3 linked regions of the Xenopus tropicalis genome follow. The protein of the gene in region 3 interacts with the protein of the main gene of each other region in a pairwise test. Links are inferred from orthologs where the notes say so. Each region holds a gene or a part of one and is shown on either strand. Other genes may lie near its edges.

Region 1 (2,203 bases), on a different chromosome or scaffold from region 3:
ACCACACAAACAATCAGGTAGTAGGTAGGAAGGTTTTGCTACAACAAAAGGTTAAACTTATGTATGTATGTGGATTTTTTTTTACCCACAGCTATAATACAAACTCACTAATCATGTTACTAAATCATGTAGAGGAAACAACCCTGCAACTGCTGGCAGGGCAGTGCCATGTCAGGACTCCTTGCTACCATCAGGCAGCCAAGTCAGTGCTGCCCTCCAACCTTGCAGTCAGCACCTAAGGTTGGAGATCTTCTATGACTTCTAGCATAATACAAAAGCAGCCACCTGGGTTCAATAGCTTCCCCATAAAACCCTTTTTGGGAACCTGAAAATCATGTTATAAAGGTTGTGTTGAACTGATGCTGAACTATTTTTGAAATAACATCATCCAAGTGCATCTAATTAATGCAACTACTGTCCTACTACTGTGTGCATGTGTAGGTTACTGCTCACTAGCAGCACATCAAAAAGCTTAATGATCCTGCATCATTTTTACAATTAAAGGTTTACACTTTTATTACAATTTTGTATTAAAAAAACCACATAAAACATATTCAACTTTAATCATTTGTATTAATGTTCATAATTGTAATCATAGCTTATCAAATAAGACTCTTAATTCCAGCTGAAAGAGGCTTTGACCTTCAATGGACCCATTCTTAATATGTGGTAACTGTAAATGAGTGACAGTGGAAAGTGGATGGAGAAAGTGATGCCAAAACTTGCAGCATCTCTTCTTATGTTTCTGTTAATCCCGTACCAATGTTTGTAAGACCCTGGCATGGATAAAGACATGGAAATGGTCCCCAATTCATGCAGGAAGTACTGCTTCAGTAAGTATCAAAGATATCCTTGGTTGTATTTTATCTGGACACATCAGGCTGAATGTGGTTGATACCTAAATGTGTGCAATGGATGCAAACTCCTTCTGCAGAAAATGCTACTGTAAACACATAGACACACTTCTTCCCATTGTTTCTCTGCTCCAAAGAAAGGGAAAATGGCTTCACTGGGACAGTGCTAAGAATGTTTTGCCCAGGAAACACTGCTGTACATCCAACATTTAAGTGGTGCATTCTGCATACTGTTTCATTGCCAGTGAAGGGAATGTTATTGAGCACAATTGGAATGCAACCAGTGCATAACATCTTGTAAACCAGTGCCATCTAGTGAGCTTGTTTGCAGGACTGAAATTTGTTGCTTAGCACAAGAAATGATGTCATCCATTCTAAACAGTGACTTTATTTCCACCAATGACATATAGCATGGCAGGTCTCTACAGGGAACAAAAATGGAACTTATTAACTACATGCTTAGTCATAGTCTAAGAATAATAAGTCAATAAGAAAGAAGGCATAAAAACTTACATCTTATTAAAAAGAATCAGCACTGAAGCAGACACCAAAGGCTCCGCAGACAGCACGGCCAGAAGCTGGATACATGATGCAGACACTTGGTTTGGGTTAGCAGCATCAACCATAAACTAAAATAACATGAAAATCACAATATATGAATAAAACAGAATACATTAATTCAGTGGTATTCAGATGAAGCCCTTCAAAAATTAGTGGCACCTAAAGGATACTGAAATTCAGACCAGGCCAGAGGCCCCCCCTTTAGATTAGAGGAATGGAGCTTCCATTTGAAGCAGCATAGGTGGTTTTTCACGGTGAAAGTAGTGAGGTTGGGGAATGCCCTTCCTAGTGATGTTGTAATGGCAGATTATGTTAATGCCTTTAAGAGGGGCCTGGATGAGTTCTTGAACAAGCATAGTATCCAAGGCTATTGTGATACTAATATCTACAGTTAGTATTGATGTTGGTATATATGGTGTATGTATGTGAGTGGATAGATAGGTCAGTATGGGTCTGTATGTGAGTGGATAGATAGGTCAGTATGGGTCTGTATGTGAGTGGATAGATAGGTCAGTATGGGTCTGTATGTGAGTGGATAGATAGGTCAGTATGGGTCTGTATGTGAGTGGATAGATAGGTCAGTGTGGGTCTGTATGTGAGTGGATAGATAGGTCAGTGTGGGTCTGTATGTGAGTGTATAGATAGGTCAGTATGGGTCTGTATGTGAGTGGATAGATAGGTCAGTATGGGTCTGTATGTGAGTGGATAGATAGGTCAGTGTGGGTCTGTATGTGAGTGGATAGATAGGTCAGTATGGGTCTGTATGTGAGTGGATAGATAGGTCAGTG
Region 2 (3,500 bases), on a different chromosome or scaffold from region 3:
AGAAATCTCAAAAAACCTATCCATATTTGGTACTGGCACATTCAGGAGACATGGGACTTTTCAATTCAGTTGTATTTTCATGAACAAAAAATAGATTATGTTTCAGATATATGTCTTTATATTAAGGAAAATATGATTTTATATTTTTTAGACCTTTAGAAACCTATATCTTGTTACAGAAGTAGAGCTACATAAAAATTATAGAATATTTTGAAATCTTAGGTTGTTCTACAAAAAAAAAAAAAAAAAAATGATATACAGTTTTTGTTCAAACACTGTCTGGCAATATAAGTACCAGAATCCACAAACTGACTGCCAGGAAAAGGGTTATAAAAAAAAAAGTTAAGAGCAGAACAATATCAGAACTTTCCACTGCCCTTTGCTGTATATAATGAGCTTAGTGTGTCAGTAAACATTTCATGCGTTTGTGGTGTCAGTATCCACTGTTCTCTATATATTGTAGTTGTGCTGTCAGTACCTATGGTGTGCTTGGAGTGCCAGTGTCCACTACCTCTAAGCATATCTCTGCTTGGGGTACCATTAAACACTGCCATTGTTTGGGGTGAAAATGCAGGATATGGTGCAGAGCTTTTTTCAAATCATATAAAACAGCTAATCAACTTCTGACTTTGCACTTGGAGCAAATGTTGTATCACTGGATATTTATATTGTGGCAACATATTATGTGGTGCTTTACATTAATTAATAACAAACAGTGGTCTTACATTAATTCTATTGAAACAGTTTCTGCAATTTTTAGACTGTGACAGTGACACAGAAACAGAATTGCTGTATATGATACACATAAATAGTTACACGCACATATACTGTATACTGTAGTTAGCATTTATACCTAGAATAATATCTACAGTATATGATCCTGAGACTTATCTCAATCAGTGTCTCGCAGGTGTGGCTGACCTGCATGGGGTTTGTTTTCCATTACCTAAGAACAGTTTGTACAGTTTAATGGAAAAGTTGTTCAGATTATCCATTTTTTCTTAAACTCTATAACCTGTGTTTGCTGTGATCCAATCTGCAGTTTCATCTTAGCTTGCTTTAGTGTACAGACCTAAGAATTATTCCAAAGCACAAGAGCAACCTGGGAGGGTTTTCCAGAGCAATGGAAATGTTATATATGCACAAGGAGCACAAATAACTCTATAACTGCAATGCAGGTATCCCTGGAGAAGGCAACCTCAGGATGTCGTGGGGTTTCCCTGGTTGCTAGGTAACAGAATGCATGTAAACAGCAAGAAAGAATTTGTACACAGAACAACATAGCTTTTTTTTATAATTAATAACTAATAATAACTATACATATACACCAGCAAAAAAATTAAAATTTGAATGAAAGTTGTTGCCTTATGTTGCCCTTTCAACAAGTTTGCACAGTGGCCCAAGAAGTAGGAATGCACTGAATCCACTATTTGGGGATTCTGGTGAATCTTTTAAAGGAGAAGGAAAGGTAAAAACTAAGTAAGCTTTATCAGAAAGGTCTATGTAAATACAGCCATAAGCACTTACAGTAATGCTGTCCTCTATCAAAGGAAATACAGGATTTCTTGTCTCTTTTTTTGTAAACATGATGTTCCAGTGTCTGACTTGCTCTCTCAGAAACATCCTTAATTCCCTGGGCCAGAGTCTGCACAGTTCTCTCCTCTCTCTCTCTTCTCCTGCTCCCCCTCCCCTCTCTTGCACCCCCTCCCACAAGAATGCTAAGAACCACCACCCCCCCCCTCTTAGGAATGTGTGATCTGCGCTTCTAAAGCTGTTTGGTAATGGTTTCTGCAGAATAAATAAATATTGTTGTAGGTGGCACCAATGTGGCAAATCTATTGGCAGTAAAATGCCAAAATTACTTTCCTTCTCCTTTAAGAAGGATTCAACTAAATGTAAAGCCTAATTTTCATATGACATTAGGGGAAGGAAATGGAGGGGAGCTGAGCATGTGGAAAATATTTCAGTTTTCTAAAAGATTTGGCCAAATCCTGAATCTTTCATGAAGGATTTAGCCAAATCTAAAACCTAATTTGCAATCATGTGACCAAAAGTCAAGTGATTTTAAGGGTTTGGATTCGGTTCAGCAAGGCACTTGGATTCCTTATGAAAATAGAGTAGTAATTCTTTCTGCTTGGGTTCTATTATGGAATCAATGCTCTGGTAAACTTTTAGTCTACTTGTGTTCATTGTAATTATCTTGCCCAAAAATTGAATGCATAATTAATCTGCTGAACATACAAGTAGAACAGCTATTAACTCACCAGGTAGGTGTTAATATAAGAAAACAGGGAATGGAATATTCTAGCAAAGTATGCGCATTGTTTCTTGTTTGTGTTTATAAAGAAGGGGCTGTTATGTGGAACAGCAGGATACTGCTCACCTGTGTAGGTGTGATGTGGCTGATATCCTCGGACGCAAGCTGTTTGAGCAGTGTGGTTTTGCCGGCATTGTCCAGTCCCAGGAGCAGAATTCTTACCTCCTGGTCTGGGGCACTTTTCAGTTTACGCAAAATAGACAGCAAACCCTGAAACGACAAATGAGGCACAACATCAGTATGCAGATATCAGTTAATACATTTATTTAGAGTAGAAAGAGAAACGGTGCCTTATATTAAAACATTTTATATTTTTAGGGCCACGAGCTAGAACCAAAGAAGCAGTGTTTCTTCGAAATAGTTCTGTATTAAAGGGGATGCAAACCAAAATTTAAAAATTATATAAAATGTCCTCTAAGCACAATACAAAAAAAAATTAGATTTTTGCAGTTACTTGCTTATTAGCAGTTTTAGACTCCCAATATCCAAGTCAGATTACCAGCAAACTTAACTGAATATGTGCTGCATGCATATTTAGTTAACCCTAGGCTGTAATTTGGTGAGATAAAAGCCCAGCTGGCACAACCACATCTTATATCTAAAGTCTGCATCTTTTGAAATCAGCTAGGACTATTATGAAACTAAACTGCTTTGAGCGGTTAAACATATTTAATTTTAAAAGGTTTTTAGTGCTCAACGCTGCTGTTGGGCTGCACTGAGTAGTAACACCCATCCATTCAACAAGTCATCAGTATGGCTTGCGCAAACATAGTGATAAGTCGTACGCATAGATTCTTGTTCAGCTGGTTGCTAATAAATAAAGCTGAGACAAACTGTATGAACTTCACACAAAAAGTGCTACCATAAAAAGCTCTGTTGTGTTTAAATTCGATTTCCCAAGCTGATTCTACAGAACATTCACCATAACACTAATATATCATCATATATACTGTGACTCATCAAACCAATGAAAAGGCCAACATTCCAAGTATTAGAAGCAATCAAGTTCTCAGTTCACTTTTAAACCTTTCTTGAGCGCTGGGTGACCCCAAACCCCCCATAAAAAGAGCGAGGGCAAATTCACAACTACAGGTTAAAAGTTGCCCAGAGCTAATATGCGCACTTTTACCTGAAGTCACTAGAAATAAGGGCTGCACAATTGTGATGATCACAGAGACTAAAG
Region 3 (4,056 bases):
TGTAGGCAGATGTCTAACATAGTAGCCAGAACACTACTTCCTCCTCCTAAGTTGTTAACAGTCAGTTACCAATCAGTGACTTGAGTGGACATAACATTTTGCACAGTCTATTTTACACAGTTTCATTTTTTACTAAACTGTTCCTTAAACAGCAAAATAAGTAGCACAGCTAAGCAGGGAGAGGTGATGGCTGGGGCTTGCGGGCAGACTGGCATTCAAAACAGGCCATGGCATTTCAGGCAGAGATGCCCAAACCAAACAGCCCCCCATCAACCCACTAGTGACTGTCTATGGCATCTTACAGCAGCCTCTCTGGCATTTGCCAGCCAGGGCTTGGGTGGCAGGGTCTGGGCCCACTGAGATTTTTCCTGATATCCTGGTAGTCCAGTTTGACCCTGGAGCTAAGGTCCAGTGCTTAAGGCAGCACCAGACAAATTAAAAAGTTTAGCTTCCATACAGGGCCCAGTGGGCTGCCTATATCGGTCTGTGTATAGACACATGGAAAGACTAAGAATCCTATATATACTAGGGGCTGCCAAAATGTAAAGCACTACCCAGTGCATTACATTACTATACTATCTCCTCAGACCGATGCTCCTTTGTGTCCTTATTTTTTCAGATTTTAGTCTATTACACATGCTCAAATCTAAGTTTATGAAAGGCACAGCTGAACCACTTTTAGAAAGTTTCCCAAGCCAGTAGTGATGTCGGGGTCGACTTCTTGTCGACCTGCACCCCCCCCCCCTCTCCATCTGCACCCAAACTGGCCCGCAGCTTCATGTCTATTAAATAAAAAAAGACTCCAGTGATTAAATTCACTTAGAGGGGAATTTACATATCAACACTTCCCCTACCCCAATGACAAGGTTTCTTTCCCATTAAAGACACAACACATACAAGACCTTAACCACATCATCAAAAATAAGTCTACTTCTATAGAAATAGACCTAGCAATCTGTAATAATGACCACCCCTTCAGATCAAAAAAACCTTATAGAAGCCACTTATCATATACCTCTGCCTATGGCATGAATTCAAACAAAAAAAAAACCACTCATTGAGAAAATGAAATCAAATATCTGATAGGTTGTCATGAGCAACTGAATTGGTGATATGTAGTAGTTGTTATCTTAGTAAATCATCCATACAGAGAGTTAACCCATACAAAATGGCTGCAATGTAACCGATCTAGTGCTTATTTCATAATGCCAGCAGTTGTTGTTTGTCTGTTAAACAAGCAGGTCTGATGCAGACTTGCACTTTTTTGTAGTATTTTATTATACAAATTTTGAGGTGTTTATTGCGTCTCTGAATCCCAATAGTGTGTGTATTTGATGCATTTAATGTTCTAGCACCAAATATAAACCTATAGATAAGTATATCACATATGGTCACACCATGCTGATAGTTTGCATTAATGCCGTATTGCAGGGAAGTCCTACCTGTGGCCTGCCATCTGGACTAGATCTCCCTAAGCGCTAATCACTAATCACTTTTAATCTTCCAAGAGATGCTGAAAGCTCAACAGCTGGAGGGCCAGAGGCTGGTCATCAATGCAACACTGAGATAAAAAAAAATAAAGCCTGAATCACCAGACGCCACTCATTTTTTTGACTTAAATTTATATCTTATACTTACAACACCTGACCTACACCAAGGGACCCATAATTGTGATATCACTTTCTCATAACATGCTCTTTTCCACTTACACCCTTATTGTTGGATACAGTTTGAATCCCTTTAGGATTTGCTTGGCTCTCTCATCCTGAGACATGTTGAATGCTGTCCTTGATTTCCTTTATCAGTTGAAGGATTATCCCTTGAGATATACAGTTCAAGTTTTCCGGTCCTAGTTATGCAAAAGCTATAAAAGCCAGTGTTGAGTTTTACAGTGATTACAATAGACTTCTGGCCTCTGTAGATGATCCAGGTTTGTTAAGCCTGCATAAGATTCATACTGACACAACAAAAGTTTAGTTTGGTTTAAAATTAAATACGATGGTCTTGGAACAGTACTGGTATAAGTCTTGTTTAATTTAAATTTCAGAAAGTACATGCATGACGGTCTCTCGCTGGCCAGTAGAATGACAATAAAATAGGTGTGGCCTAACCCTAACTTGGACTGTCAGAGTAATTCCATTTCAGCCAGTGCTAGCAACAGCAACCAGCACAAGCAATCATAGGTGATCCAACAGTAGCTTCACTCTCTCAGTACATACACGTTTTAATATGCAATATCTTGAGATGTGTCCAAGTGCCAATTCTGGCAGGTGAGTTGGGGCCCTTGCAGCAATTGATGATATGGACAATACACAAAATATAACTGCAATGGTAGATGGTTTGAGCCAGAAAGGGTACAGGCAAGCGATATCAGCCAGTCAGACCACAGGTAGGCTGTACAGGCCAGACATAGTGCAGGTAGGTCGGTGCTGGGGTAATCTAGCAGCATAAACAGCTTCTATGCATTAAGTAGTAGTTCCACACCTATATCACACCCACCACATAGAGTAATAATCCTGAACAGAATTTGCAGTTTTACTTGCACCTGGAGGCGAGCAGCGTGGATTCTGCCTCTGACAGACGCCCTGATCAGCTTTCCGTAACACAGAGGTCCCAGGGCCACGGCACTGGGAAGAACTCTACAATGTTGCACTGCTTTCCGGAATCGTATAGTAACTACTCGTTATGTCAGCATGGATTTAACAACTAGCTCCTCGTCTACAGGATCTGGCTAAGAAGATTTACTAAGCTACATCAGTTCCTCCTATTTGCCCTATGACGTTTAGTACAGTTCAACAAAAAATGCTAGCACCGGCCAATCACAGTCGGAATCCCTGCTGAGTGATATCGCCACGCACCAATTAGGAGAGAGAGAACGTCGCACGCAGGGCGGGACAAATCGATTTCAAGTCTGGTTGAGTGCTCGCGCGTCACTAATTTGAGGAACCTCATGTTGCATAGAAACGGAGGAAAGTTGTACGGGACACGAAAAGGGTCAAAATACATTCACTGGCTACTTGTTCCAGGTGGTAATAGAGAATAATTGAGTTTGGGTGATCTTGCAAAGTTTACTTACTGAAGCAAAGCAATTTAGAGCACAAGTTCACATGTTCACAACTCGTGTAGGTAACTTAATGCATTACATGATGACTGTTAGTAACTACATAGTTGGGAAGATACTGGATTCTATTTTTTTTTATTTTAGGTTAAATTTACTGGCGCAAATTTTCTCCCCCTCTTATTCAACCATAGTTTACAGACCCGGACTGTGATTCAAAATAGGACATGGCATTTCTATTATACAGAGGCCCAAATAGCCCCCCCCCCCCTCCCCAATAAATAGTGACTTGTAGATTGTAAGCTCTTTTGGGCAGGGCCCTCTTCACCTCTTGTATCGGTTACTGATTGCTTTATATGTTACTCTGTATGTCCAATGTATGTAACCCACATATTGTACAGCGCTGCGGAATATGTTGGCGCTTTATAAATAAATGTTAATGTAATAATTTATAGTGCACATCAGGCATTTACCAGAATACACAGATTACCAGTCCAGGCCTGAGGGGCACCGAAATTATATTATATAATGAGAGGCAGTGGGTACTGACTCACAAAATACATTTTATATAATGGGAGGAACTACGTACTGAAAAACCAAATATAAACTGAGAGGAAGTGGGCATTGAAACACTGCCAGGAGAGCTAGTAGGGAGAGGCGACACAAAAATTCTCTTAACTGCACAAAAACTGGATACCTACAGTGGCTTGCAAAAGTATTCGGCCCCCTTGAACTTTTCCACATTTTGTCACATTACAGCCACAAACATGAATCGATTTTATTGGAATTCCACGTGAAAGACCAATACAAAGTGGTGTACACGTGAGAAGTGGAACGAAAATCATACATGATTCCAAACATTTTTTACAAATAAATAACTGCAAAGTGGGGTGTGCGTAATTATTCAGCCCCCTGAGTCAATACTTTGTAGAACCACCTTTTGCTGCAATTACAGCTGCCAGGCTTTTAGGGTATGTCTCTACCAGCTTTGCACATCT

Evidence for each region.
Region 1: the proteins of retinal rod rhodopsin-sensitive cGMP 3',5'-cyclic phosphodiesterase subunit delta (region 3) and arl16 interact in binary tests that used the Homo sapiens proteins (3 or more experiments, as listed by UniProt). The two-hybrid records come from large-scale screens. The link is inferred for Xenopus tropicalis from reciprocal best matches to the Homo sapiens genes PDE6D and ARL16.
Region 2: the proteins of retinal rod rhodopsin-sensitive cGMP 3',5'-cyclic phosphodiesterase subunit delta (region 3) and arl3 interact in binary tests that used the Homo sapiens proteins (3 or more experiments, as listed by UniProt). The link is inferred for Xenopus tropicalis from reciprocal best matches to the Homo sapiens genes PDE6D and ARL3.

Annotation. Positions count from the first base shown.
Region 1 is NC_030686.2:27,583,082-27,585,284, forward strand, and holds the end of arl16 (ADP-ribosylation factor-like protein 16), read right to left. Parts: intron 1,484-2,203; coding exon 1,368-1,483; intron 1,277-1,367; coding exon 1,111-1,276; 3' UTR 501-1,110; downstream 1-500. UniProt on the Homo sapiens protein: May suppress the RNA sensing activity of RIGI in a GTP-dependent.
Region 2 is NC_030683.2:29,027,599-29,031,098, reverse strand, and holds part of arl3 (ADP-ribosylation factor-like protein 3), read right to left. Parts: intron 2,528-3,500; coding exon 2,384-2,527; intron 1-2,383. UniProt on the Homo sapiens protein: Small GTP-binding protein which cycles between an inactive GDP-bound and an active GTP-bound form, and the rate of cycling is regulated by guanine nucleotide exchange factors (GEF) and GTPase-activating proteins (GAP).
Region 3 is NC_030681.2:101,179,589-101,183,644, forward strand, and holds the start of retinal rod rhodopsin-sensitive cGMP 3',5'-cyclic phosphodiesterase subunit delta, read right to left. Parts: upstream 2,801-4,056; 5' UTR 1,775-2,800; coding exon 1,728-1,774; intron 1-1,727. UniProt on the Homo sapiens protein: Promotes the release of prenylated target proteins from cellular membranes. Modulates the activity of prenylated or palmitoylated Ras family members by regulating their subcellular location.